4 linked regions of the Rhinolophus ferrumequinum genome follow. The protein of the gene in region 2 purifies or fractionates together with the protein of the main gene of each other region. This does not show direct contact. Links are inferred from orthologs where the notes say so. Each region holds a gene or a part of one and is shown on either strand. Other genes may lie near its edges. The genes, in order: LAMTOR3, SLC38A9, LAMTOR1 and LAMTOR4.

What was found.
Region 1: the proteins of SLC38A9 (region 2) and LAMTOR3 purify together in Homo sapiens (affinity purification with mass spectrometry; 3 studies listed by BioGRID and IntAct, with this or other methods). This does not show direct contact. The link is inferred for Rhinolophus ferrumequinum from reciprocal best matches to the Homo sapiens genes SLC38A9 and LAMTOR3.
Region 3: the proteins of SLC38A9 (region 2) and LAMTOR1 purify together in Homo sapiens (co-immunoprecipitation; 5 studies listed by BioGRID and IntAct, with this or other methods). This does not show direct contact. The link is inferred for Rhinolophus ferrumequinum from reciprocal best matches to the Homo sapiens genes SLC38A9 and LAMTOR1.
Region 4: the proteins of SLC38A9 (region 2) and LAMTOR4 purify together in Homo sapiens (affinity purification with mass spectrometry; 4 studies listed by BioGRID and IntAct, with this or other methods). This does not show direct contact. The link is inferred for Rhinolophus ferrumequinum from reciprocal best matches to the Homo sapiens genes SLC38A9 and LAMTOR4.

Annotation. Positions count from the first base shown.
Region 1 is NC_046288.1:51,294,646-51,302,033, forward strand, and holds the start of LAMTOR3 (ragulator complex protein LAMTOR3), read right to left. Parts: upstream 3,018-7,388; 5' UTR 2,834-3,017; intron 2,803-2,833; exon of another isoform or gene 2,696-2,802; intron 2,542-2,695; 5' UTR 2,505-2,541; coding exon 2,496-2,504; intron 1-2,495. UniProt on the Homo sapiens protein: As part of the Ragulator complex it is involved in amino acid sensing and activation of mTORC1, a signaling complex promoting cell growth in response to growth factors, energy levels, and amino acids.
Region 2 is NC_046290.1:34,663,391-34,670,439, reverse strand, and holds the start of SLC38A9 (sodium-coupled neutral amino acid transporter 9), read left to right. Parts: upstream 1-4,040; 5' UTR 4,041-4,155; intron 4,156-6,338; exon of another isoform or gene 6,339-6,413; intron 6,414-7,049.
Region 3 is NC_046294.1:47,696,613-47,704,115, forward strand, and holds the start of LAMTOR1 (ragulator complex protein LAMTOR1), read right to left. Parts: upstream 3,003-7,503; 5' UTR 2,848-3,002; coding exon 2,806-2,847; intron 2,796-2,805; exon of another isoform or gene 2,334-2,795; intron 1,760-2,333; exon of another isoform or gene 1-1,759. Other genes in the region: transmembrane O-methyltransferase homolog, read left to right, coding at 5,234-5,251, 6,091-6,365, 7,500-7,503. UniProt on the Homo sapiens protein: Key component of the Ragulator complex, a multiprotein complex involved in amino acid sensing and activation of mTORC1, a signaling complex promoting cell growth in response to growth factors, energy levels, and amino acids.
Region 4 is NC_046290.1:90,639,230-90,647,071, reverse strand, and holds the start of LAMTOR4 (ragulator complex protein LAMTOR4), read right to left. Parts: upstream 3,011-7,842; 5' UTR 2,665-3,010; coding exon 2,641-2,664; intron 2,497-2,640; coding exon 2,416-2,496; intron 707-2,415; coding exon 589-706; intron 252-588; coding exon of another isoform or gene 235-251; coding exon 137-234; 3' UTR 1-136. UniProt on the Homo sapiens protein: As part of the Ragulator complex it is involved in amino acid sensing and activation of mTORC1, a signaling complex promoting cell growth in response to growth factors, energy levels, and amino acids.

The sequences.
Region 1 (7,388 bases), on a different chromosome or scaffold from region 2:
CTAAGTAATCATTCATAATCTTTCTTGCGTGTATCTTCTCTTTCTCTTTCTGATTTTGACATTTACTAGTTATGTGACTTGGAGCAAAATCAACTAACCCTTTTCTCTAAGCCTCAGTTTCATTCTTTGTTGAGAAGGGATAATAACAGAACCTACGTCATAATATTATTTTTAAAGTTTACCGAGAAGATGCATGTTAAGTGATTAGCATATCTGGAAATGGGAAACCCAAATACGTATTAGCTGTAAAATTAGATCACACTTTTCTTACTATTTCACATCCTGTTGCTACTGTTGTGTTCACTTAAGAATATATTATGAACATCTTTCCACATCTATATATATTACATCTTTCTTATATCACTTCAACAATTCTGGGTAAGTTGATTAACTTCTCTGAAATTAAATCTCCTCACTTAAAATATGACAATGTTTGCCAAGTGTTTAGCATGGAACATAATTAACAAAATAAATAGAAGACTATTTTATTTGATCTCTTTATACCTGGGGGATTTCACTGACAATCCAAGTATCAATTAAAGAGCTCTACATAGACAAATCAGATATCTGTGGTTTTGAACCTCTAATCCCTACTATTCTCCAAACCTGAATATTCATTTTATTCCATATTATCACTACCAGTTTACCTTTGCTCTCATTTTAAACACACACAAAAAAACCTCAACTCATCATGTTTCATCTGAAACCCAGATTTCCTCAATCTCTTTTCGTTTTCACTAATGGGACTACCAAACCCATTAATTCAGGTTTGAAACTAAGAGTAATACCTAACCCTAACCTCACGTTTGTCACTTTTAAATCACTTGTGAAGTCAAATGTTTTTAAACCGATCTCTTCTTCTCCTTTTCAACTGACATTACAGTTTATTTTCATTCTATTATTTACGACTTGCACTAGCTTCCTAGTTGGTATGCTGATCTCCCGCATCTATTCCATACAGGTCTACATGGTGTCAATAATCCTATTATTCTCCTTCTCTAAAACTGTAATTGTAGGGATTCTCAACCTTGGCTATGGATAACACGTGAAAAGCTTCAAAAAAAAAAAGGCCACTGTTGACTAGATGGCTAGGTTAGAGGTGCTCCCCAGATTACCACCTATTCAGCCACGGTTGAGAACAAATATTGAAATGGCTCTCCACTGTTCACTGAATTATGTACAAACTCTTTAGACATTTGAGCCTCTACAATATGGCCTACAACTAAGTTTACAGTTCTGCTTCCTACTGCTGTCTCACACAGATCCTCAGCCCTAGCTAAATTAAACTACTCACAGCTCTTCCATACACAACCTTTCCCTTTCCTATGTAATATTGTTCATGCTATTCATTCTACTAGCAATATTCTCCTTCTGAATCTTACTTTTTAAAACTGCTACTCATCATTTAGAGTTAACCTCAACCACCAAACACTCCAAATAGGTTTTCCTGATAGACACAAACCAGATGTAATCCCTCTCTCCTTTGAATTTTCACACAATAATGCATGCATATCTGATCATTTGTCTACTTTTTAAAACTGTAAAACCCCTAAGAGGAATTATACCATAGTCCTCTTCATTTCACCCACAGTCCTTATTATAACAACCTTTTGGCTGCTCAATAGATATTTAGTGATTTGATTATGCCTGAAGGATAATGTCTCAAAAACATAATGGAAGACACCCAAAAATGTAGTGATAAAGGCATGAAAGTTGCTTAATGTTGAAACACATAATCTTGCAACGTAAAAAGAAAAATCAGATTCATATTAATGCTGAATGACTAGCAAAATGGTTAAGTGCACTGACTCTGGAGCCAAAATACCTGGGTTGGTATTTTCACTCTTAGTACTAGAGTAACCTGAGGCAAGTTACTCGATCTTTCTGTGCTTTAGCATCCTTATCTATGACACAGGGATAATGATCATGCCTACCTCCTAAAGCTGAGAATGAGCGTATGTTCAATATTTATAACACTCAGGATGTACGTAAGCAAAGTAACATATGTAAAATATAAACATTAGTACTAGTATTAATTTCCCGCTGTTTCTAGTAACTAGAACAATTAAGTTCCTTAAACTTAGAATCTGGCTTTTACTGCTGTGCTCAAGACTTGTCAGTTGAAAAATCATCTCAAATGGCTCCAATGAACCCAGAAAGACATCATGACCACTTGCTGGGAAAAAAAAGGATTCCAAGCAGCAAAGCACCATTTAGAAATTCAAATGGTAAATATTCGGAGCCTCTTATGCCCGCAGGGCTGTGGAGTGAGCACGGGCACCTAAGTGTCCTACAGGCCCATGCAAGGCACAAACTCACGGCCCCAGGAAATCCATTCATATTAATCTCTAACTCCAGATCTTGGAGACAATAACTCAAGGTGTAGAGGGGCAAAAATAAAACAAATTTCTCTTTGGGAAGCACAATCTTTCCCCACCCAGTATGCTCCAAACTCCCCACCACTTGCTTCCTCTTGTGCGGGGGTGTTAACTCACATCCGCCATGACGAACCCCTTTCTCCCGCAGGTTCAATATCCACGCCTGAAAAAGAAACTCCTGGTGAGGAAATCTGGGTTTCAGCGGGGTCAGCTGTCATCAGGGTCAGGCAAGAATCCGCGGCTCTAGGCCTGGGACCAGAGAGATCGCAGGGAGACACACTGCCCAGATACCCACAAGAACAGCCGGGGTGCCTTACCTCAGCCCACTCCGCCTCCCCAGCCCCCAAGGTCTAAGCCCGAAATAAAGCGGAAGGGGCATCCTCTGCTCTTCCAGCTCACCGCCCGTAACACCCGCGGGCCCAGGCCTGAACACCGAGCAACGTGGCTCCAGTTACCCGGTTTCTGGGCTGCCCGGTTCTTTGGGTCGCAGGGCTCTGGGCTGCCTGCTGTCCTTCAGGGACAGCGTCAAAGACAGGTCTTTCTGAAAGCTGCCGTCACATGACTTACGACCTCCTCTCCGCTTGAAGCAGCACTTCCTACACCTCCAACGCCGGGTACCATGGGATTTCCGGGGACGCGCGGGGGGAACTGGGAGCGTGCGACTGTGCGTCGCACCCCGCCCCACCCCGCCCTCCCGCGGCTCTCCACAGGCTGCCTCGTGCGCCTGCGCAGACACCAGGTGTTGGAGAGAGGTTTCCTGTCAGGTTGCTGCGCTGTAAAGCTCCCCAGGAAAAGCATGTAAGAAGACATTTTTGTGCGGAGAGTGTATGAATTGCCTTAGTATTTCAGAGTCCGTTATCTTAAAACCTGTTCTTTTAGATCAAAGACTTTGAAGCTGAACAGCAAGCACCAGATGACACGTGATTAGAAGTCCCAGCTCCAAAGGTTCCAGACCCCGATTTCTCTTTTGGCTTTCCCGTTTGCCATCGACTCACTGCTCTTTACTCAAGGTTTTGTGTAGATTGAATTGAGGAGCCATCCTGGGTTTTCTGGAGTTCTCAGTTATGTGTGAACTTCAACATATGCAGCTGTTGGGTAACCTTTATTGGCTCCAATTAGAAGGCTGTGCCTGTAAAGACTTTCCATATTGTTTTCTGTTTGGTGTCTTGTGTGCACCTTTAGCAAAAACCTACAGTAGGTGGCAGGTAAATGAGGTCTACAGGAACTTGTTCAACACTGATCTTCAACTCCAATCCCCAACAGGAGTGCAAAAATAAGTAACTAGCTCAAGACACGGTGAAAAGAATTGGATACTTACTTCCTCGTTATTCCTGAGAAGATGAAATGGTAAACTACAAAGCTCCCACATATTACAAATAACTTCATTATTACAAGTGAATTTAACAGTTACGTAGCAACTGACATCACTGAAGACCACTTCCTTTTCCTCATTTAACCCCTTCGATTTCTTAGCTTCTGGGACACTGCTCTTTCTTATTTTAGGTCTTCACTTACTCTAGTTTCCTAACTCTTAAATGATGGCATTTAAAGCTTGTCTGGTTTCTCATCTCTGTTTTTCTAATTCCACAGTGTCCTGAGAATGTGAGTTCTAATTCTGCACCTTTCTTCTGAGTTCTAGGTTCACATTTTCAGCTGCTTGTTGGATGCTGGATAAATATTTCTACATACATACCTTACTGTCAACTCTAATTCAAAAGCTCTAAAGGTTCTCCAATAAATCTGTTCCTCCTGATGTATGTCTGTATTGGTTTCATAATTCTAGTTAGGTGTCACATTTGCTTTCCATCATGTTCTCTTTTCTTTCCTAACCATGATGCTTGCATCTCTATTTTTTCAATTCTTAGTTCACAGCATTTTTCTATTCCGCAAAACTGTATCAATATCTACTTAACGGCCAGATAGACCTTCTTAGAATACACATTACTGCTGCTCAAATCTTTAGTGATATGCCATTGCAGACAATGATAAAGTTTACAATCTTTAATTTGGCACTAACATTCTATTTTACTTCTGAACACATTCTAATGTGAATCCCATATGCTAGCCAAATTACTTACCTCACCCTTCCATCAACATGACTTATTTTCCCACACTGATTCTGTAGGTTACTTTCATCTGAAGTGATTACTTTTCCTGTAGGGGAGGACAAAGTTCCTTCCACCCTCTTAGGTTCTGTGGCTGGGCCTAAGAATAAAACTGACAGATAACAGGAGGCAAATCATACAAATTTATATAGTATTTTTACGTGCACACGGGAGTCTTCAGAAGGAAAATGAAGAAACAAGTCATTAGACCGAAAGCTTATATACGTTTTTACACAGACAATAAATTGTGGGGATGTAACAAGACAAAGGGGCTCAGGGTAGGGGCAGTAAATTGTGGAACAGACACTATTAAATATATGGAGAAACAAATTGGAGGTAAGGGTTATTTTATTAGGTTTGTAGAGGTTCATTTTGGTATCAATCCCCAGTCTCTGGTGATACGAATGTTCTTCTCTTCCTGGTACAGGGAAGGCACCTTTCGTATAGGAAATTTAATGACCAGTTTTAGGGGAAAGAGGGAAGTCAGAAAGCCCTTCATGCACCTATTAGTGCCTTCACGTCAAAATAGTCAATATGCCAAAGTGGCATATTTGGGGTGGGATGTTCTGAACCCCTTCACTCCCTACTTTATTTAAATCTTGTTTCCCTGTAACTCCTTTTCACCCATCAAATTCTCTTGAATGCTACTATATACTACCAAGAATAACTGATAATTTATTTGTACATAGTTATGTCACAGTTTTGGTTTGCTTCACAAAGAGACCATAAAGTATAGAAGGCTGGGTCAGGTTTTACATTTTTCCAGTTTCTCATGTTGCACTCAACAGGCACTCAGGGAACATCTGTGGAATAAAAGTGATTAAAAGAAATCATTAATCCTGGCCCTGACTAAAACTTCTTATTCCCCCGTCACTATTCCCCCACCCAAGTTTAGACACAAGTAAAGATATGAGCTCTAGCAAAACCTTTTAATTTCTGGAAGTGCTACTTTTTATTTTTACAAAATTCACCATCTTAATGACCTTAATAAATGGTAGTTGACCTGGAAAATACTGACTTTTTTTCTTTGAGTGGCAAAAAGGTAGAGCATAGCTTTCCAAAATCTCCAAACATCACTATGTTCTCAAATGGAAAGAAATAATATTTCTGATTTCCAAGAATGGTGGTTTCTGATTATAGCATGTTAATGGAAGAGTTCCTTATGTACTCTGATTGATCTGTTTGCATTTACTCATTAATACCACTGCTGTTAGTTTAGGACTAGGGTAAATATTTACTGGCCTAAAAGATCATCAGCACGATGTACCAGTTTTCCAAAGTGGGTGTACCAGATGATCCCCGAGGTTCAGGAAGAAACTAGTGGAAATGGAGCGCGCGCGTGTGCGTGCGCGCGCACATACACACCCACACACACACAATTTGTATCTCATTCAAATTTTCTATTTTACTATGTACGAGGTCTGACAATTAAGTTCACGAACTCGTCCTAGAAAAAGTGCTACATACCTCATTGTTGAATATCACTATGGTCACCTTCGAAGTACTCCCCTTGGGAAGCTATGCACCAATGCCAGCGCCTAGTCCACCCTTCAAAGCAATTTTAGAACTCTTTCTAGAATAGCCATCAGATCTGTCATAGTATTACCCTTGATGTCCTGAATGTCATCAAAATGTCTTCCTTTCAATATTTCCTTTATCTTCGGGTAAAGAAAGAAGTCATTGGGGGCCAGATCAGTGAGTAGGGAGGGTGTTCCAATACAGTTATTTGTTTCCTGGCTAAAAATTCCCTCCCAGACAGTGCCGTGTGAGCTGGTGCATTGTCGTGATGCAAAAGCCATGAATTGTTGGCGAAAGTTCAGGTCATCTAACTTTTTCAGGCAGCCTTTTCAGCACTTCAAAATAAATAGTAAACTTGGTTAACTGTTTGTCCAGTTGGTGCAAATTCATAATGAATAATCCCTGTGATATCTAAAAAGGTTAGCAACAACATTGCAACAAGTTCACGAACTTAATTGTCATCAGACTTTGTACACATTATATTAGTATATAATTAATAAATACACATTAAAGTTAACTTTATTGGTTATATTAAAGCCTTTGTTTCTGCTTCTCTTCAGCTTCAATTTCTCTTAGCTGTTGCATACAGCAGATATCGCTAATTTTTTTTTATTCTGCTTTCCTATCAAAAAATCAACAGTTATCTGGATTTAGATTGTCTCTACTGACTGTGTGAAAATTCTAGTTGGTATTCAGATTCATGAGAAGTGTCTTGCTGATTCTCCAACATATAAAAATGAGTTTTATCACTTACACTGTTCAAATTGTATGTCCAATTTTTACTCTGGCCGTGGTTTGGGATTTGGCCCAATGAGAATACAATTATAAGTTCATATGCAATAACTTTCTCACCTATACTACCATCTATTGCCATCACACCCTGGACTTGCACAGTCACCTTAGAAATCACTAATTCCCTCCATCTGTAGTTTACATCCAATAGTCAACCAGTGGAATCACTTAACTGTTAACATCTTAAATTCCCTTACCATCTTTAGTGCCTAACAGAGCCCCAAATTTGAATGAGTTAAATGAGTAGTATTGCCCATGCCTATGCTAGGCTGCTGGGTTAAGCTGGAGAAAGTACAACTACGGAGATTATAAATTCTGTCAACAACCTGGAACCTGTAGAAATCTTACTTTTCAACTAATCAGCTGACTCAGTGAAAATGATTCCTTCCAATTGTCTTCATTCTTTCTAAGCCTCTGCTTATCATTCATCCCGCTCCCCCACTTTACATAAACTGCCTATTTCATCAAGAAAATGCAAGCATAATATTGTCCCATTAACACTACAAATCCACCTGCATCTGTACCCATCCTTTGTGCATTCCTTTCTGAAAAAATGCTGGTGGTATCTACTAGCTAAAGTAATTATTTTATCTTT
Region 2 (7,049 bases):
TAGAACCCACGGAGCGGGTCATGGCAACCTCAGATAGTAGCTGGTAGGTCAGAATCACAGGTGACATCTTGGACTTTCAATTGACATCTAAAATAGAGGATGAAAGTGGGGGGGGATTTTTGTAGGACTGAACCCTTAACCTGTGGATCTGATGCTATCTGCAGGTAGATAGTGTTAGAATTGAGTTAAAGTGTAGGACAGCCAGCTGGTGTCCAAGAATTGCTTGGTGGTGTGAAAACACCATCTCCCCATCCCCCATGCTGGAATTGGTACTAGAACCTTTAACATCAGTCAACATCATGTGCCTCTTGATGTGATGCAGTGAGAAAGACACTACAATATTCATGTATTATTCCTGCAAAAAATGCATAACTTGAATCTAATCATGAGGAAACATTGGATAAAATTCAAATTGAGGTACTTTCTACTAAATGACCTATATTCTTCAAAAATGTCAGCATCATAAAAGAGAAAGAAAGGCTTAAGAATCCATTCCAAATTTAAGGAGCCTAAGGAGACATGAAGACTAAATGCAATGCATGATCAATCATATGTAGGGCTCTGGATGAGACAAGAAAATTCCTATAAAGGACATATTTGGAAGAGTTGGTGAAATTTGAGCAAGGTCTGTAGATTGAGTAAGAGCATTGTGTAAGTTTTTAAAAGTTCTAATTTTGCTCACCGTACTATGAAAATCCTTGTTCTTAGGAAATATATAGTGAAGAATTCAGGAGAAGGCATATTGTCCACAACCTAATCTCAAATGATTAGGGAAAAGTGTGTGTGTGTGTGTGTGTGTGTGTGTGTGTGTGTGTAGAGGGAGGAGACAGAGAAAAGGAGGAAGAGAAAGAGGGAGGAAGGGAGAGAAAAAATGATAAAACAAATATGGCAAAATAATGTCACTTGATAACACTAAATAAAGGTTATATGGGAGTTCCTTGTGCTATTTTTTGAAACTTTTTTGTAAGCTTGAAATTATTTATAATTTAAATATATATATATATCTTCAAAGGATTGAAACACATCAAAGATATTTTTAAACTCTGTGAGGTCATAAAAATACAAAAAAAAAAAAATAACAACAAACAAAATACCAAAAGAACCACTAAAACAATAAACCCTCCATTGGTCACCTTTGCAAGACGCTAGGCAACCAACTCATTTTGAAAACTGGCAAAAGAAAACAAACAAATAGACAAGTGTTTATACTGCATTTGGGGTAACAAAGTTGTTCAGGGAAAAGTCTCTTCCTTAGAAAAATTCCAGCTAATTAATGAAAATCTCCACTCTGTATCCTGTAGGCCAGGGATCAGGAAACTATGATCCTGAAGACAAATAGCTGTTTGTCCAACCCAATAACTGTTTCTATAAATAAACTTAAGTACAGCCACCCCATTTGTTTACATGTTGTCTATTTTGGCTGTACTTATACCATAAAGGCAAAATTGAGTAACTGTTGACAGAGACCATACAGCCACAAGGCCTAAAATATTTACTATTGGGCCCTTTACAGGAAAAGTTTGCCAATTCTTTCTCTAGACCAGGAAAATAATGGCTAGTGACATACACCTCCCAAACTGTGAGACTACAGGAAACTCACAGGGATGCCAGAGTATTTTAAATTTTTGAGAAAAACACAGCAACATCTGTCAGACACCAGGTGAATGACTAGCTTGAGGTTATTCACAGTTTCAGCATTAGATGAAGTTAATTCTTTTGGATAACATGATACCTTTGAAAAGTTGAATTTTCAGCAGTTCCTATGATCTCAAGCAAGTGTTGTGCCAAATCCAATGTGAAACAGGAAATGAGGATAGTGGTGTCCCATCTGATTTCAAGGTTTGAGAAGTTATACAGTGCCCAACAGGTGTACACACCCCATTAGTAAGCAATTGTGGTTAAGAATGAAATAAAGTATTTTTTTCAATGTGTGTGTGTGTGTGAGTGTGTGTGTATTTAAATGGCTACTAAGTTGTTAGGACAAAAATACATATTAATTTGTTTGGACCTAACTACTTAGTAAACAGAAACTAAGGATACTGAAAAAAAAAATTACTGAAACTCAGAGGGTAACATAAAACTGTGATCTAGCAAATGATCAATGGCTGGTGAAAAACTGAAGAGGAATTTTGTAAGAGACAATATTTGAGCCCAATGTACAGTCTCAATATCACAAATGAAAGACCTGATGTGATATAGGAAGTACAAAACACCACCTATAAGGCTTGATCTAAAAAACTAAGTTTGAATACGATCAAGGTTCTAAACTTGACTACCACTCTACTAATTTTATGAAGTCTGTATTCTGTGTTTTGTGGCCATTGAAGTCTCTGTTCCATCAACCTAGTGGTCAGCTAGTGTCTTTATTAAATACCTAGAAGCAAAAAAAAAAAAAAAAAAGCCGAACGCAAAAATATTTCTCCCATTCTTTGCCAGTTAGCTATATTTTGGGGCACTCCTTCAATGCTGAGCCAAACAGTGTACAACTCTGCCTTAGCCTTTACTTCCTGTCTTCACAGAGCCTGAAGGTCAGCCAGAGGTGAGAACTTAGGTCTTTTCAGGTGTTTTCTGAGCATGTGTCCAGACCAGGGTATGCATATGGCCTTCTGGATTCCCCAGAATAGCAGGGAGCTTTTCAAAACCCTTATTTCTTCAAGTAGCTGCTTCTCTCACCTCATCCTTCCTGAACTTTCTGGTCTGTTTATTGCTTGCTCTGATTGTTATACTTTGCCTCTGCTGGCAGTGGCTAATACATTTGCTTTACATGCTTTCAACAAACACTGCCTGGGCAGCTGCCTTAGCCCTGGGGAGGCTCTAAGGCAGGCAAAACAAAACAAAACCCTCAGCCAAACCTTTGAGGAACCACCAGATAAGTTAAAACACATAATTACAATTCCTTGAGAATAAGGTCCATATTGCTTTCCTTGGTATCAGCAAACTACACCAAGAATATGGGCTGCTGTCGTGAAGGCCACTTCCAAGCTGGAGAGTAGGAAATGATCACAGAGCTCTCTTACCAAAATTCATCCGTCTTGTCTTAAATGTTCCCCTGGCTGTTGTTAAGTTTTTTAAATTAGATTCCAGAGCTAAAAAAAAAAAAAAAAAAGTTGATTCTGGCAATTTTGCCAGCTTATTTGTTGCTTTTACAGAGGGACAGTTTTCAAATTCCCTACTCTGCCATTTTCAGTGATGTCACTCCATACCATTTACTTCTGTGCATCTCAGCCTTGCCTAAAATTATTTTCTCGGCCTGGAATGCAGAGAAATAAAAAATTTTGCTATCACGGAAGCTCTCAAAAAATGTACTGATGATTTGAGGGCAGGCCAAGGAGCAGTTGCAAACATTTTTCAATAAGGAAACCTAATCAGCAAAATAACTTTTATCTGTCTTACAGGCAATACAGATGCTCCTCAACTTACAATGGGGTTACGTCCCAATAAACCCATAGTAAGTTGAAAATATCGTTAAGTCAAAAATGCACTTTTATGTATACGCACATTAACATTACTTAGATTGTTTATTTGGGTTGGCTTTGGGAGAAATGGCTAAGGATGGGCAGAGGGTGCTAAAATCCTCCCACAGCTCCTTTTTTTAGCCTAGAGATTGGTTTGCCAACACATTTAAAAGGAAAAAAAAGAAAACTGTCTAGACAAGGGAGGAAGAGGGCCAACCCAACACATTTTTTTCAAACCAGCTTCCCTTGGTGTCCATAGGGTTCAATCACGTGATGAGAGTACAGAACAGCCAGGCAAACCTGGGAAGAGAAACAGATAATGAGAGGTCATCCCTAGATGATAATGCCACATCAGCCCTTTCTCATGTGGCTTCCGGGGCTGTAAGGACTGCAGGCTACAGTGTCCCTCCTTCCAGATGCCTTAGAGTCTCAGGCAGGCATCCGACACTGGCCGGAAATCAGGCGGCAGATCAGGAGAGACTTGCTCACCTGCGCTGACCATCTTCTCAATGACCAAAGGCTGGGCTCTGCAGAGAGGGGCGTGTTGTCTGTCGCAGAGGCCACCGGGAGTTGTAGTCTGCAGCGCCGGGAGGTTTGACAGTGGCGGCTGGCTAAACGCTCTCAGAACTCCATTCCCCGCCGGCCATCGCGGCCTAGACTGTTGCCTCTTCCTGATCAGGGGACAAGAAGCCCGGCTGCGGTAAGTTAAGAGGATATGGAAAGGATTTTCCACCTTCTTGCCGACTTCTCGGAAACTGAGGGCTTGGTCTACTTAGGTAGAGCACGTTCCCTGGTCTTGCAAGTAGCCTCGGGAGGGAGCGGAGAGAACCAAAGGGAAGCGGAGGAAGAGCTGAGCTTGCAGCGGAAGAGCTCAGCTTGCAGCCAGCCGGCTGTCACTCGGGGAAGTTCTTTGGTGAAACGCATGGAATAGTGGAAATTACTCCTTGATCATGGGCTGCAGAATGGATATTGTGTTAGCAGGCATGAAAACAACATTAATCTTATACATCTCCATCAGAGCTCTTGGTTACTGGGTGCTTTGTCAATGAGCAGTAATATTTTGAAAAGAATCATATATTTCTGAGTGGTGGATCTGAACAGTAGGCTCAAAATATTTGGTAAACCTTGTTGTAAACAGATGTGCTGTTATCCAGTCTTTGTTCTCTTTGTAGAGCACAGAGTAGATTTAGCATAATTCTTAAGGATCCTTGGATTTTTAGAATGGTAAATGAGCACTGATTTCAACTTAAAGTCACCACCAGTTACATTAGCCGCTCGCACGAGAGTCAGCCTGTCCTTTGAAGCTTTGAAGCCAGGTATTGCTTTCTCCTCTCTAGCTATGAAAGTCCTAGATGGCATCTTCTTCCACTATAAGGCTGTTTCATCTACATTGAAAAATCTGTTGTTTAGTGTAACCTTCATCACTTGTCTTAGCTAGATCTTCTGGATACTTTGCGGCAGCTTCTATGTCAGCACTTGCTTCACCTTGTACTTTTATGTTATGGAGACGGCTTCTTTCCTTAAACCTCATAAACCAACCTCTGCTAACTTCAGACTTTTGTTCTGCAGTTTTCTTACCTCTCTTAGCCTTCATAGAATTGAAGAGAATCAGGGCCTTGCTCTGGATTAGGCTTTGATTTATGGGAATGTTGTGACTGGTTTGATCTATCTAAACCACTTAAACTTTCTCCATTCTAATAAATATGGTAAGTAGAGAAGAGGACCAACACTGAACTTTGGGACTCTGCAATTTTAAGAAGTCTGGGAGATATGGACCAAACAGTGAAGGAAACAGAGGAGGAAGAGGAGGGACCAGAGTATGTAAAGAAAACTCAGAGCCCTAGTGAATTTAGTTTATTAGCGAGTGATCCCTTGTGGCAAATATTTCTGATAGGGAGAGTAAGTTAAAACTTGGGAAATGACCCTTGGGTTTACCCATCTGGAGGTCATTGGTGACCTAACAAGAGCAGTTTTTGTGTAGGGATGAGGAAGATACCCTGATTAGCATGGTCTTAAGAGAGAATGGGAGAATCTTCTCTATTTTATGCTTTCTACTTTGTATCTTCTCTATTTTATGCTTCCTCTTTTATGTTTTTTTTTTCTCCTTTCTTGCCCTTTTTTAGGTCAATTTTTAGCATTCTCTTTTCCCCCTCTACTAGATTTTAATGATACACTGTTTTCTATAGTGTTAGTAGTTACCTTTAAAATTACAACATGCATCACATCAAAGTGTAATGTTGACCTGGACAATACAAGGGCCTTCGAACACGTTAATTCCAAGACCTTCCTATGACTTTTTTTCCCTTTGGTCTGGAATTTTAACTTTTTTTCTAGTCTTATAACGTTTATTCATTCTGCTTGGATTCAGTAAATTTCTTGAATCTGCAGATTGTTATCTTTTATAAATTCTAGAAATTTGTCAGCCATTATCTCTTCAAATATTACCTTTGCCACTTCTCTCTTTCTGGTTCTCCAGTTACATACATGTTAGATCTCATATTATCTCCCCTCTTTCATACCTCTCTTCCACGGTTTCAGCCTTTCTTTTTTTTCCTCTCTCTGCCACATTCTGGATAATTTCTTCTGATTTAATCTTTTAGTTCATTAATTTTCAACTTTTAAACCCATTCATTGAGTTTAAAATATTAGCTATTGTATTTGTTTATTTTTTTAAATTTTTGGCCTAAAAATTCACTTTCGTGATTTTCAAACATCCTCAGTTACTTTTTGAAAATGTCCTCTTTTTCTTTTATTTAAACATAAGAAGCGTAATTGTTTTATAATTTTATTCTGATTAATTCCTATAGTTAAAGTCCTTGTGGATCATTCTACAGTTGTTTCTTCTGGTTCTCACTAACAGTATTTTATTTCTTTACATGCTAGGTGACTTTGGACTGTATACTGTTTATTGTCCTTAAAAGATTGTCAGCAAGTTCTTCTTTGAGGACTAGGATGAAGGTGTGTCCTTACTGAAAAGATTTACATTTGCTTCTGCCCGTTACCTAGAAGCTCTACCAAGCAAATGAGCCTTAAATTATATTCACAGATTTATGTGTTCTTTTAACTGCCTTGCAAATCCAGATGAGGTGCAGTTTGTGGTATATACCATTTCCCCCACCACACATACACACAGGCATACACACACATGCACGCACATGCTATGGTCATTGTCAAGAAAACTTGTTTGTAGTTCCCTTGTGAGGTAGTGAGGCACTTTTACTTGTTAACCCCTAATCTAATGGTAAAGCTCTATGTAGTCCCAGCCAAATTATGGGAAGTAGGGGTGATTTCTTATAATCATTCCTTACTTTGAGTGAATCCCAGGTTTTGTCTTCTATTTCCCTAATACTTCACAAGGCCTTGAAAACCTCAGCCCAATTTCTCCTGGTACAGAAAATACCTTCAGAGCAGAAGAAACTTCCTTGAGCTATTTACCTCTCTAGGTTCCTTGACTTTACCTGCAAATGGCCTGATTTTTCTCACTATTTTTGAAGCTTTTCAAAAGATGTTTTTTTATATTTTATCCAGTATTTTTTGTTTTATGCAGAAAAATAGGTCCAAATAGCCTAATCTGTTTTATTACTAGAAATGGAT
Region 3 (7,503 bases), on a different chromosome or scaffold from region 2:
GCCGACGTTGACAGTCACAATCCCCAGAACTGAGCTGGGGCCAAACATCTCCCTGGTCCTGTATATTTCTGTGTGTATTTCTCCTTGCAAGGTTTAGTCCCTTGTTATAATCAGCTGTCTTTCTGGATAAGACCTTGCTTTGAGCCCACTCGCTGCAAATCCCTGCTGGCTTGTGTCAGCTGCAAAATGGGTAAGCAGACCTGCTGGGTATCTATCCAAGCCATGAAAAGCGAGGGTCCCCGGACAAAGTCAAGAACAGGGGCCCATCCTGGCGAATGCTGACTCACCAACCTTCAGTGCCAGACCACCAGACTCCTCACTGCTCCACTTCAGGCTTATCTCAGTTCCTACCAGACTTTCCACTGCAGCTCCCAGCTCCCCTGCCCACAACTCCGCAACTCTCCTAGCAGAGGGACACTTCCTTCTGCCCAGCCTGCCCCACCCTAGGCAGGCCCAGCCTTGTCGCATGACTCTTCCTTCTCAGTCGTGGGTTGACCAAGTGTCCTCAGTTCACAGCAGCAGGAAACAGCTTCTGTCCCATCACATCCCACCTCCTAGACACCCCCCTCCCTAAAACACAAGCTAAGTAATAAAGAGCTAGAAAGACAAAATGTTTGCCAAGGATTAAACTATCTCTAAGAATCTCTACGGAAAGTTGGCTCCATGATGAAGTCTGAGTTTGCTTCCTGTGTGTGCATCCTCCTCCATCCCCACTTCAGACAGATTTTCTGGCAGGACAGAGCAGTTTCTCTTCTATCGGATTCTTCAAGAACAAGGTTGTATTCCTGAGACCTATATTCCTGGAAGAGGCCCTCACCCCCTGGAACATCACCTCACCCCCAAAGGGCGAGTGGAACATGGGGGAGGTTTTTCACACCGAGGTTTGTCCCTAAGTCAATGTCAACCCAAGAGCCAGAGTTTCACTGTCTACCGTAGCATAGACATACATGGGGCCTGCCCATGACTAGCCATCTGGTCCGTGGGCACAGCTGGAAGAGACAGCTTGGTCCAATGACAGAGCACATGGCTTGGCATCAAAACACCTTGTTTATGGCTCTCAGCTTTGTAACCTTTGCTAAGTCACTTAGCCTCTCTGAACTTTTTCCTTGCCTTTAAATACGTATAACCTGTACTTAAATGACAGATGTTTGGCAAGAGTCAAATTAGATAACTGTAAAAGGACTCTGAAAACTGTAATGTGTTGTGCATTTCTTATTACTGTAACAAAGAGACAGAGAGGGGGAGAGGGGCCTGCCCAAGAGCTCAAAGAGAGACTTGGGGATAGTGAATGGTTATGGCTTCTAGACTAGGTTAGCAGACTTTTGCCACATGAGGCCTCAAATCACCCAGCACTGATCAAGCACCATCTCAAGGAGTTAGAAACAGAAGTGAGAACCGATCAAGGGGAAGGTGGAAATTGAGAGCAGCAGAAAGCTCAGCTCTTCCAGCCACAAGCTGGTATCCTTTCTCATAAGGCAGGCATTAACCCTTGACTCATTCCCTGCAAGGGTCCATATTATGCTTTCAGGGACAACTCTGCAGTGGGCCACAGCCTTCCCAGTAGGCTGGGATACGGTCTCCTTCTTTGACAGGCTGGGGTGAAGTGAGAGGTATTGGCTATGACACATACCTAACATAAGGCAGAGGAAATATGAGTATGTGTTCACTGGGTGTTTGGAGAATTAAATGAGGCCCAGGAGCCACCCATGCCTCCCATACAAATGACATTTTCCCAAGCCCAAGACCTTAACCCAAAACAGGTTCACGTGAGTCACTGGGGAAAGACATTCTCCCCAGTACCGGTGATATACCGATGGTACCGATGATCCATTTGTGTGTCCATCTACCCAACCTCCACCACCAGACTGTGGACTATTTGCTGAAATCTTTTTACTGTCTCTGTGTCTAGTATGTGTTAAAATGTGGAATCCAGGCATAGAGGCGATCAGAAAGGTGAATGGCCAACAGCTAAGACTTCATCTTTGGAAAGGGCTCTCTCCTGAAAGGAGGTCAGGTGGTCAGGGCCAGGATTAAAGTGTGTTGAGAGGTGAGACTGCACCAAGAGAAAGAGGGAAAATTTAAAACTGTACAGGCTTCCCCAGCCTAATTCTTGCAAAGGGATCAGATCTACAGCCAAATTCCCAGGGCAAGCATCCAACTAGCTAGAGGAACCCTCAGGCCCTAAGCAAGGACTGCACTTAGGCAAGCCAAACCCCAATCCAGCTGAAGCTAAACCCGATTTGTTGCTTCCCAAACAACTTCCTAGACGTCCCAATGTCATCATTGTGTCTATTAAATCCTTCACTGACCAACTCAATGCTACCAACTTCCAGAGGCCTTCTCTGACCCCAGATGAGCAGTGACCTTCCTTCACCAACCCCAGCGACTGAGAGGATACAGATTCCTGATGCATCTTGGGACTAATTAACTCAGAGCCCCAACTTACCCACCTCTACAATGGATTCACCAAGCCCGCTAACAAGCACAGGGAGCTGGTAAGGGAGTGCTTCCCAGGGACCTAAGCTGAGGATCCTTGAAGCTGTAAAGGTTTGAAGGTAGCAAGAGGTGGGAACGAGTAGGATAGGCGGCTGCCCGCATACCCCAACGCGGGGACTGTGCAGAGAGAACTGGGCTTTAACAGGAGTAGGAGCCTGGCCCGGCGTCTCCTCTGTAATCTGTCTCCTCCGGGCCTCCGTACTCAGTGAGCCCTGCCGTCCGGCTCCCCCTCTTCTGCAGGCTTTTTTGTGGGCCCCGTGCCCCAGGGTCTTAGCCCTCATTCCCGAGCCCCGCCCGCCGCGGCCGCACCTGGTCCGAGTCTTCGTTCTCGCTGCTGTAGCAGCACCCCATGGCCGGGGTCGGGCCGGGCGCTCAGGCCGCGCCGAGGAGGGACGCCGTCCGTCACGACCCCTTCCGGTCACATGACCCGTGGCAGCAATTAGCAAGTAATCACCCACCCCCACAACTATCCTTTCCCAGGGCCGCTCGGAAGCTACCGAAACCCCGGCTTCCGGTTCCGCCCCCACCCCGTGATCATCTCCAACCAATGGGAAGGCGCTCCCTGCAAGACAAGAGCGAGACACGTGATTTGAGGAAAGGGAGGGGCGGACCACATGATTTAAGCCTCTTCAATCTCTGAGCTCCAGTTCTTCGCTGCAGCCTTGTAGAGGCTGTGGTGTGAGTTGCGTTATTTGGTCGCTTGGTCGCCCATCACCTTTGTGAGCCGTTGAGCGAACTCATACCAAACGCCGTCATGATGTGTTCTTCTAACTGCCATTCTAAGGGCAAGTGGGATGCACACACATAGGCCCCAGTTGTCGAGCGCCAAGTCAGGAGTGGTGGGGGCACATAGAAGGTTGTGATGCCCAACAGAGTTCTTTTTTGTCAACTTAGACTGGGCATCTGACACTTACTGGAAGAAGGGACTATATACCTTCGCAAGCCAAAGCGAAATGGAGCTCAATCCTGGTAGAGAAGATGGAGGCCACCTCACTGATCTTGCCCTCAGCTATTTCTCTTCATTCCTACCTTTTTATGGCAGGCACAGTAATCACACAAAGCTCACCATGTATTTCTTTTAGAACCATCCTATGTCTTCCCTTGAACCCTGAACACAGGTCTAAGTCTGTCATTCAAGATGCAGATCCTAACACCTGCCTCCCACTCCAGGCCCAGAGGGGTGTTGGAGAGATTGGCGGAATACCTCACCAGCCATAGGGAAATAGTTTCTTGACTGACCTACTGGTGTTTGCACATGTGGCTTGGCAGTCTTCCTCCCCACTGGGTCTGCCTCAATAACAACAACAATATCCTCCTGATTGCCTTTTCTGACTCCATTCTCTGGGCATTTCCAGCTCCCCTGTGCTTAATCCCTATTCATTCATTTATTGGATCAAATATTTAGTGAGTACGTGCAATGAGTCACACACTGTTCTATCTGAATATGTAGCAGTTCACAAAACAGCCAAGAGTTCCTGTATTCATGGGCCATCCATTCTAGTGATCAAATTATATTGCATTCTGTTTCCGCATCAGTTTCTTCTACCAAACATAGAGTTCCTGAAGGACAGGGACAGGATCTGACTCTTCTCTGTGACCCAAGCGCTGGCACTTGTTTAGAGAAAACTTGAATTTGGAATTAATGAGTAAACTACAACCTCCCTACCACCTTGTATGTAGAGTGCCTAAAATAAGGTATTTGTGTGAGCAAGAGTAACTCCATTTTGTATGAGCAAGAGTGACTCCATCTTGGACACTGAGTGTTATGGAAATTACCCATGAAGATAAACAACTTGTTTGTACAAGTAAACAACTACCAGATGGCCATGCAGTTGCTGCATGGACTGATAGGACAAGTCAAAGGAAGTAAACAATTCTAAAGAAGTAAACAAGTCTAAAAAGGTAAACAAGTACCAGATGGCCAGGAAGTAGCTGTGAGGACTGATAAGGTGACGTCATATGGCTCTACTGAATTCCTTAAGAACCCTGGACTTTGACAGCTCAGTGAGCAGGTCTCACTTGAGGTGAACACGCTGCTCCTCTGCTCTGCGAACCCTCCACTCCACTTTGGACTTGGACCCAAACTTTGCCAGACCGTCCTCTGGGACCAGCAACCCGGTGCACCAGATTCTGATTAACTCTTGGACTGGTTCATTATCAAAATACTTTACTAAATTATTATTGCTGTATTTATGGCCATATTGCTATGATTAAATTGCATTCCTCCACTGCATTTTCTGTGTGAATAAATGAGCTTATTGAAAGGCACTAAGCCTGCATTTTTGCCTTAATTCTTGCTAGAAACCATGGCTACCTCAGAGGCCTCAGTCAGTGCCAGGTAGGTCCTGGGGCTCTGAGAGTCTCTCGGGGGTTAGTCCGTCTAACTTGCAGGAAGAGACTGCAGCGCAATCTGTGAGCCTTGCTGACGCTCACAACACCTTGGCTCACCCTGTACCCCATGTCTTCATCCAAGGGGTGGGAAGGGAGGCCACCAAACCCAGTACAGCTCTAATGCTCCTCAAATCAAGACTCAAGAGTCCTGGGAGTTCTGTGAGGCCCCCTGTGGGGTAAGAGGCAGCTCCAGCGTGGCCCTGCTGCTAGTAACTTGAACTGCAGGTCTCAGGTGACAGCAGCAGCCTCAGCATCAATAATTGAGAGCAAGTCCAGCCTGCCTCAGGGTTCTCCACCCACTCCCCAAAGACTCCCCCTCCTGTCCTATGCTGCGATCTTCCCCAAGCAGGAGCCTCCAGCCCAGGTAAGCAGGGCCCTTGAGTGTGGGTTCCCAAGCACACCAGTTCAAATGCACCATCACTCACCTATTCACACCCATTCATATACTCCGACTTTCATTTTTAGTCCCCACCACCAGCAGCAGCCTCACAAGGGTCCAGGGCGATTATCCTTCATAGTGGGTTGGGGGGAAGAGGGCTGAGTGAGGAGCAAGTGTGTGTGTGTGTGTGTGTACGTGTGTGTGTGTGTGTGTATACGTGTGAAGGGAATTCTGAGAGAGAAGAGAGGAATGCAGAGAGGAGTGATAGAACTAGAAAACAAAGAATCAAGGACTCTTTCCATCCCTGCGGAAAGAGCAGAGGGAAAGTCATGGGGTGGGGAGGACATCTCATCCTAACATCCTATGGAATGTTTTGATCGCCTTTTACTAAGGCAGAGCAGTGACAGTAAAGGGGTTTCTGACTGCAAAGCTGTGCTTTTGTTACACGGTAATCAGTCAGAGACCAAGCAGGCAGGGGGTAGGGTGAGAGGAGGATATTTCAGGGGAACTGGTGAAAGGGGTCCTGAAGAAGGGTGACAACAGAGATGAGGGGAAACGGGTAGAGGGAGCAAGGTGAAGATGGGACCAGGAGCTGGAAGTGGGAAGAGGAGGTTTGGGGTTGGGTTCTGAATTTTGCATAGAGTCCCTGAAAGTACATGGGCTTGGGATATTCAAATCCTGGTTCTGCTGTGTGACTCCGGACAAAAGACAGCCTTTCTGAGCACGGTTTGTAAAGTAGAGAGATAATTACTACTGGTAAGGGCTGCACAAATGACAGGCAAATGGCAGGTGTGGGTTTCCCTCCCTGCCTCCTTCTACCCCAGGGTGCAGGCAGGGACCATGTCCCCTGCCATCGCGCTGGCCTTCCTGCCACTGGTGGTGACATTGCTGGTGCGGTACCGACACCATTTCCGACTGCTCGTGCGTGCGGTCTTGCTGCGGAGCCTCCGAGATTGTCTGTCAGGGCTGCGGATTGAGGAGCGGGCCTTCAGCTATGTGCTCACCCACGGCCTGCCTGGGGACCCCGGTCACATCCTCACCACCCTGGACCACTGGAGCAGCCACTGCGAGTACCTGAGCCACATGGGGCCTGTCAAAGGTCAGTGTTGCCTAGCCTTCTGCTCCAGGAAGCACCCCCAAGACGGTGAAGGAAGAGCTGGGATCTGTCACTGCCTTACTGGGTGAACTGGGCAAGTTCTTGACCCTCTATGGGTCTCTTTTTTCTTGTCCGGAAATGAGGGGGCTAGGCAAAGTTATTCCATCCAGCCAACATATATTGCCACCTCCTGTGCCAGGCATGCACTGGGTGCTGGGGGAGGAGGAGGAAGATCTAGGCCACAGGGATGAATCAGCCACAGATGCTGGCCTCAAAGGGGGCATAATGCACAGGGGAATAACCAGCTCAGGACATAACCAGAACTTTGTAATGATCTGTGTCTGAGCCTTTCTCCCCCACCATGGCCCCTACATCCCAGGCAGGGATTCTGTCTGCCTGGATTTGTCTCAGTCCCAGCTCCCAGCACAAGTAAGTGCTTTTAGAGTCTTATTTAAGAAAAGTCATCCAATTCCAAGGTTAGAAATATCTAATTTAAAAAAATCAAGGGGAATGAAACTGTAAGTTCTAGGAAAGGTCTCTCGGGAGCCTAGAAGATGGTCTCTCAGAAGCCTGGTGGTTGTTTCTGCCTGGTCTCTCCCGGAGGAAGCAGCAATTGAACTGTGCCTAGAAGGATCGCTTTCAAGTTGGCCAGGCAGATGAGGATAGGGGTGGGAAGGGCAAAGCCAGCTACATACACTACTAATGTAGCAGGAAGGAATCAGGCAGAATGGTTGACCCTGCGCACAGTGTTTGGGATGGCTGTGGTACAGGCTACAGATGGGAAAAACTGAGAGCTGAAACTGGAAAGACAGGATAGGATTAGTCCAAGAAGATGAATGAATGTCAGGCTGAGGATCCCAAGTTCAATCCCAGAGGCCTTTAGGATCTTAGGAACCAGGGAGTGATAGTGTTAGATTTGTCAGAAAGATTCCCAGTGGCTGGTGTGAAGACTACACTGAAGGAGGCAAGCCTGGAAGGGCTGGAGGACCAGTGGGGTAGCTGAGGCCATCGTCCAAGAGAGAGAAGACCCTAGCTGGTTGGGGGCTGCAGTAAGGCAGGTGAGCATTTGAGATTTTTTTCTGTCAGGAGCCTGCATCCATCTCCCAGGTCTGCTGCAATAGCCATCTCCCCCCATAGGTCA
Region 4 (7,842 bases), about 56 Mb from region 2:
GTAACGGTGGGGCAGTGGGTGAGCAGAAAGCCTTAGTTCTAGCAGCAGGCCAAGAAAAAGGTGGAAGGAGTTTGCATCTTCCTCATCGCAGAGGCTCATGGACCCAGTACACTTCTGCCCCTCGCCCTTGGCAGGTTCAGACATCAATGGGCTCCCGGCCTCGGTTCTGTCTCTTCACCACAAATACCCTCTGTCCTGACACAGTCACCAGCAGCGTGTGTTCTCCAAAGACCACTGCAAGGGAGACATACCTTCCCCCACCCCGAGAGAGGGAAGGGAACACACAGTTAGTGGAGTGCAGTGGCCTCCATCGGGTCACACACAACCTGGCTGGGATCAAAAGCCAAAGAAATCCGATGGTTCAAGGCTCAGAGTTCTGAGGATGGAAGGTCTCCATTCAATCCCCTTCCTTCTCTTGCTTTTTCATACTTCTGATGCAGTGGTGAATCCCAAAGGGAAGACAGTGGCCAAGGGGAGATGGTGGGAGGTTGGGAGGACATAAGTGTTTTTTCCCCTGAGGAGCGCACCCCACCTCTGGGAGCACCCCACTTCCTATCACCTCCACGAGGGGTGGGGACTAGGGCTCACCTGACAGGCGCTTGAAGGGTATGTTCATGCCATGGTGCAGCCGGAAACCGCAGGCCGTGCTGACCAGCTCAGAGATGGCACTGGCCGCTTGCTCGTCATTCTCGAGATCCCCAGATGACTGCATGAAGATGGAGGAGACAGGATGACAAACATTAGGGAACAGAATTGGCAATTTCGAGGGAACAGTCACTCTGGCTCTAGCATTGGTATTCTCTCCCTCACCAGGTCCTGGCACCCCTCAGGTCACCCCAGTTTTGGAAAAACCTAGAACTTTCCTATGATGTTGCCCCTTGATGCCATCGTTTCTCATCCTTATACTGGGCTTCCCCGATGAGCAGTGACTCTCATCCATTTCTTTACTGACCTTTCCTAATCCCTTGAAACTCGTTATCTCTCCCTGGCCCCACTTATTTGTAAAATCATATTTTCAAAATCAGTCCCCCCCCTACACTGGCTTGTTCAAGGCTGCTTTTCCTTAGTCTTCCCACTTGTTACTCTGTCTGCAGAATCTGAAATAAACATCCCCTTTGCCCTTGAACCCCTCCATATTACCTAGCCCTTGGGTAATGATGTGACAGTGGCCCGGGCTTCCTCTTTTCTGCTGACTGTCACAACTTCTTCCTACCTCTCAATATGGGCCTCTCACTATGTCACTCAGTTTCCTCATCTGTAACTTGGAGACAACGGTACCTTTCTTATGGGCTCGTGAAGGTTACGTGAGATAATATTGGCAAGATGCTTAGAACAGCGCCTAGCAATATACGTTAACTGCTGTTATTCTATGTCAAATCAAACTGAATGGCTAAAGTCAAGCCATCAAAATTCCCCTTACCTCTCCCCCTCCCCAATCAACTTCCTTAATAACTTCCTATTAAGGCACCATCATTCTAGGCTTGCATTCAAAGTCGTACTGGGTGGAAGTACCTCTAGTCATTACCAAGACATACTGAGTCTTTCAATTCTCTTCTCTCCTTGCTGCTCATTGTCACCAGCTCAGTCTCATACCTCAATTTCCGCAGCAGCCTCTGCTTCTGGATCCTGCCCCTTCCAGCCCATCTTCATACTTAATAGAACAATCTTGCTCAACTATTTCATCAGCTCATGTTTCTGTTCAAAAACCCTTCAAAGCTCCTATTATCCTCAAGATTACCCCAAATGTGTTAACTTGGCCTTGAGAGTCCTCCACAATCAGATCTTTCCTTACTATATTCTCTTCCCCTAAACCTTTTCAAATTTTAACACAAATCCACTAATTCAGACAGGCTCATGTCACATTCCCGCAAATACATCCTGCATACTCCTTTTCTGCCTGTTCATAACCATCCATCCTTTAAGCCCAGCTGAATTTTTACCTCCAAGAAGGATTCCTTGTCATAACACAAGTTATATCACGAAGGATTGAATCCTTCATTTTCTGGACTCCTTCAGTAGTCTTTACTACTCACATTGCTTTCAACTTTTAACCTTAAGCCTTGCCTCTAGCTAAATTGAAAAAACTTCTAGAGAGCTAACCCTATATTGTACTAGGGAACAAAATACAAAGCCTCTTTAATAAATACCAAATAAAGACATATTGGAGAATAACCCAGGTAATCATAGTTAGCAACAAACCTGTAGCCAGTTGTCTGACTTTGGTCAAGTTAGTAAACCCTTTTACCTCAGAACAGTTACCACACTACGATTCCAGAGATTTATTTAATTACTGAAAGCTTACTATATGCCAGGCATGATACCAACAGCGGGAAATTAGGCTAAACTGGGCAATGTTACAAGGGATCACCGGGCCATGTGTACTTGGGGGGACCCCCTCCCTTGCCCAGAACGCACCGCCAGCACTGCGCCTTCACTCAGCACCAGGTAACCAAGTTGATCTGGGATGCGCTCCAGCCCCTGGGTCAGTGCAGAAGTCTAGTGTGTAAAGATGCAATCAATGACAAGCATGCTAGGAAGATGGCCCTCGATACTCTTCACTTGCAACCCATCCTCCCATGACAGTACCCGCCCCCCCCCCAGACCCCTTCCCCCAGTCAGGGCCCTTCCAGACCCTCTTACCTCTACATGGCTTTCCACACTCATCTTCCCGCATCTCCATCTGTCCTCACTCTCTGCCTCTGGGCTCCCTCGTTCTTTCACATCCCACCTTTGCTACCACCGGACGCCTTCGCAGCCCCACTGGCCCCTCTCTCCAGCCCCCTCTCCAATTCCCCATGTGGCCCCCCCTCGTCCGCAGACTACTCCCCAGCCCCTGTACACCCTCCCACAGATCGCTCCTCAGCTCTCTACATCGCCATCCCTGCCATCTCCATTCCCTCTCTGTCCGGGACGGAGAGGAGGGGAAGACGAAGTGCGGGCCCAGGAACGGGCACCCAAAGAGATTGGGGAACAAGGGCACGGAACCCCCCAAAGCGTACTCTCGCGCATGCGTCCTCACTCACCATCTCAGCCTTAGGTGCTGGGGAAACACCAGACCAGATAGGTAGCTTCCGGCTCCAGACCCAGGTCACGTGCTTCCACCGGGCGGTCTCCTTCTGCCCTGCGTCTCCGTACTTTAGTCCCGCCCCCAGAACACGGATTGGAGCTTGACTACGTCATCAGACTTAATCTGCCAGTGCGGAAAGCCGGTTTTCCAAGACGCACGCAAACACCCATCTCCCCGCCCCACAACCGCGAGCTCTGGGCGGCAGGGGGGAGTGTTGGCTTAGGGGAAGGCCTAGAGGGGCGGGGCCGGAGGGAGAGGGTGGGCTGAGGCTGTGCGCCTGCGCGCCTAGTGTGTGTGGGAGGGCAACGGGTTCTGCCGGGGTGAGACTGCCCACGGATGTGAGCACAAGCAAGAGAGTAAAATGAAAGGACGTGACGCGCCTGAGAAAAGCTTTTGAAATGCTACTCTTCTGCCTATTCGACACAGCTCTCTGTTTAAGACAGGGATTTGTTCCCTAAAAAGCATTTCCTCACGGGATTTTGTGAGGAAGGGTGTGATGGGAAATTGAGTACCCCGCTGGGCAAGACAGTTTTAATACTGAATATTCTTTGCTAGGAGAAATTAGAAACAATACCTTGGAGTTACTTTTTAATATGTGAGTATCACATTTGATTTCTAAACCGGCTGCAATACTAATGTGACAGGCGGTGTTGGTGTGGGGACAGAGCCCCAAAAAGCAGTTTCCAGGCTCTTGGCCTCACATAGAAAGGTGCTGGCTCAGGTAGTAAATGGCCATCGACTGTGATCAAATGGCCACCAGCTGTGGCTAGTTGGCCGTCAGCTGTAACCAGTGAGCCACTAGCCATGAATATAACTGCCGTGGCTACGCTAGCAGGAAATGGGGGCTAGCAAGAAGATGGGGGCTGAGCCTGCAAGCGGCGCAGTGAGGGTTGAGAATTGTGTGGCTCCTGTTTCCTGTGTCTCCAACCCAGCCGCCAGTGAGAGTATAGTGGTGTGACTCCCCTACCTATGGCTCCGTGGGTGTTCCTTTTTGGCCTCACCATGTCCTGCATTCTTATGTGGGGAGTGGGATCAGAGACACCGCCTGACACCCCGCAGGACACCCCGCACGACAGTTGGTAACTGTGAAATGAAAAACGGAGTCTGTAACTATTAATAGTAAGTACTTGGGGGAGGATGTGGAGAAATTGGAGTCTTCCTACATTGCTGATGGGAATGTAAACTGGTTCAGCTGCTGTGGAAAACATCAGCGGTTCCTGGAAAAGTTAAATACGGAGTTACTTACTGTATGACTTAGCGATTTCACGCCTAGATATATGAGAATTGAAAACATATGTTCACACAAAAACTTGTACACAAATATTTCTAACATCATTATTCATACTACCCTGAGATGGAAACAACTCAAATATCCACAAACTGAAGAATGGATAAATAAAACGTGGCATAGCCATACAAAGGAATTTTTTCTAGCCATAAAAAAGGAATGACGTACTGATACGAGGAGTCATCAAACAATACGGTGAATGTTTAAATAAAAAAAAAACCTATTGCAGTAAAAGACACATTGCCATTCATCCCCCTTAAAATACTCCTCCTCACTTCGAACACATTTATCCCACTGTTCTTGCCACTTTCTGAAGCAGTTCTGGAAGTCTCTATTGTATCTTACCTTCTTCCTCCATCATGACAGTGCTCTGTGTCACACATTGCTTCTGGTAAGGCAATTTCTGTCAAATAAAAACATTGTGCAGCCGGCCCAGTGGCTCAGGCGGTTAGAGCTCCATGCTCCTAACTCCGAAGGCTGCCGGTTCAATTCCCACATGGCCCAGTGGGCTCTCAACCACAAGGTTGCCAGTTCAATTCCTCGAGTCCCGCAAGGGATGGTGGGCTGCGCCCCCTGCAACTAGAAAATGGCAACTGGACCTGGAGCTGAGCTGCGCCCTCCACAACTAAGACTGAAAGGACAACAACTTGAAGCTGAACGGCACCCTCCACAACTAAAATCGAAAGGACAACAACTTGACTTGGAAAAAAGGCCTGGAAGTACACACTGTTCCCCAATAAAAGTCCTGTTCCCCTTCCCCAATAAAATCTTTAAAACAAAAACAAAAACAAAAAACATTGTGTCCTCATCCACCTTACTCACCAGATCTGGCACTGTACAACTTCTGGCTCTTCCGCAGAGTCAAAATGATTATGAAAGGTAAATGTTTTGAATCGATTCAGGACATTGGGCATCGAGGCAGCCACAACAGTGCAACTGAAGACACTGTGGGGACAGAGTCCCAGAGAGCAGTTTCCAGGCTCTCGGCCTCACGTGGAAAGGTGCTGGCTCGGGTAGTAGATGGCCATCAGCTGTGACTAGTTGGCCATCAGCTGTAACCAGTTAGCCATTAGCCACTAATATAACTGCCCATGGCTATGCTAGGTTGGTTGGTTGGCAAAGAGAAGTAGACGGCAGGTTGTGGATCGTGTGGCTCCTGCTTCCTGTGTCTAACCCAGCCGCTGTCGAGACTATAGTGGTATGACTCCTCTATCCATGGCTCCATTGGTGTTGCTTTTTGGCCTCACCATATCCTGCATTCTTGTGTGGGGAGCAGGACCAGAGTCCCTGCATGACAGACACTCACGAAAGAGGACTTCCAGAACTGCTTCCGAATGTGGCAAGAATGATGCCATAAGTGTGTTTGAAGCAAAGCGTAGTATTTTGAGGGGGATTAATGGCAATGTGTCTTTTCCTGTAATAATTTTCTTAAATTTAAACACCGTATTGTTTGATCAGACCTTGTACATGATACAACATGGATAAACATTGAAAACATGCTAAGTGAAAGAAATCAGACACAAGGCCGCAAATTTTATGATTCTCTTCATGTGAAATGTCTAGACTAGGCAAATCCATAGAGACAGAAAGCAGATTAGTAATTGCTAGGGTCTGGGGGAGAGAGTAATGGGGAGTGATTGCTAATGTGTCGGGGGTTTCTTTTTGGGTGACGAAAATGTTCTGGAATTATATAGTGATGATGATTGCACAAACTTGTGAATGTAATAACAATTGAATTGTACACTTTAAAATGGTGAATTTTACTGTATGTGAATTATATCTCAATAAAATAAAACTGTGTACTGTTTCTTGAGGGGAAAGCTAATTAGAGAAGATGGGTGCCCTTTTAAAAATGAGGTATGTTTATAATATAAAATTTAAACTGGAGGAGGACATAGAGAGAAAGAATTTTGCGGAGATGCTTAATTTGCAAAGCCTTCCCTGGATTTAAGATATTGATGACAGTTTGTAACATCATTTTTTTGCACTTACTGTTCAGAGTATTTTCATCCATGCACTCATTTACCTTCATGTTAACTGCCCTGTAATAGTATCCCCATTTTGCAGATGAGGAAGTGGAAACTTGAGAGAGGTTGAGCCTTGCTCATAAGGACACAGCTGAAAAGTGACAGAGCCAGATTCCAGTCTAAGTTTGCTGACGGTGAGGCTGATGCTTTTTCTATTGCTCCCTGGGCCAACTACATTTAGTATTATTTTTAAGCTACATTTAATATTACCTCAGAATGTCTGCACTCATTTTTCTCAACACAGAGGAACGCTTAGCAGGACAAAGCTCATCAGCCATCATTAAAATTATTTCATTTTCACAAACAGCTTGAATCATACTAATCCTGTAGAGAGCCAGGTTTCTCATTCTTTCATTCAATGAGTGTTAATTGAGCACTCTTCTTGGAATTGAAGGTACAATAGTGAATAAAAACAAGACTTTTTTTTGTTTTGTTTTCAAGAAGCTGTGAGGGAGAGGGTAAGCCAGACAATCAATCAATCAATCAATCAATCAGAAAATAAATGTTAATTGGTGAGAAGTGCTACGAAGAAAAATACAGAAGAGTTCCATTTACACTAAGTTGAAAAACATGAAAAACAAAATAATGTATTATTTAGGGAGATACATATGTTTGTTTGTTCGTTTTTTGAACTTTGATTTATTTTAAGTGTGTTTTTCCAGGACCCATCAGCTCCAAGTCAAGTAGTTGTTTCAATCTAGTTGTGGAGGGCACAGCTCACAGTGGCCTATGTGGGGATCGAACTGGCAACCTTGTTGTTAAGAGCACCGAGCTCTAACCAACTGAGCTAACCACCTGCCCCAATACATGTTTATATATATATATATATATATACACAATAGGGATGTATGAGAGATGACAATTAAATTCGCGAACTCCTCCTACAAAAAGTGCTACATACCTCATTGCTGAATATCATTACGGTCACCTTCAAAGTACTCTCCTTGGGAAACTATGCACCGACTCCAGTGCCTAGTCAACCCTCAAAGCAATTTTGGAACTCTTTTTCTGGAATGGCCATCAGAGCTGTCATCGTATTACCCTTGATATCCTGAATGTCATCAAAATGTCTTCCTTTCAATATTTATTTCCTTTATCTTCAGGTAAAGAAAGAAGTCAGATCAGGTGAGTAGGGAGGATGTTCCAATACAGTTATTTGTTAACTGGCTAAAAACTCTCTTACGGACAGTGCTGTGTGAGCTGGTGCATTGTTGTGATGCAAGAGCCATGAATTGTTGGCGAAAAGTTCAGGTCGTTTTTGTCTAACTTTTTCATGCAACCTTTTCAGCACTTCCAAATAGTAAACTTGGTTAACTGTTTGTCCAGTTGGTACAAATTCATAATGAATAATCCCTCTGATATCAAAAAAGGTTAGCAACATCGTTTTGATTCTTGATGGAACTTTTTTGGTTGTGGAGAATTGGCTGACTTCCATTGTGCACTTTGACACTTTGTTTCAG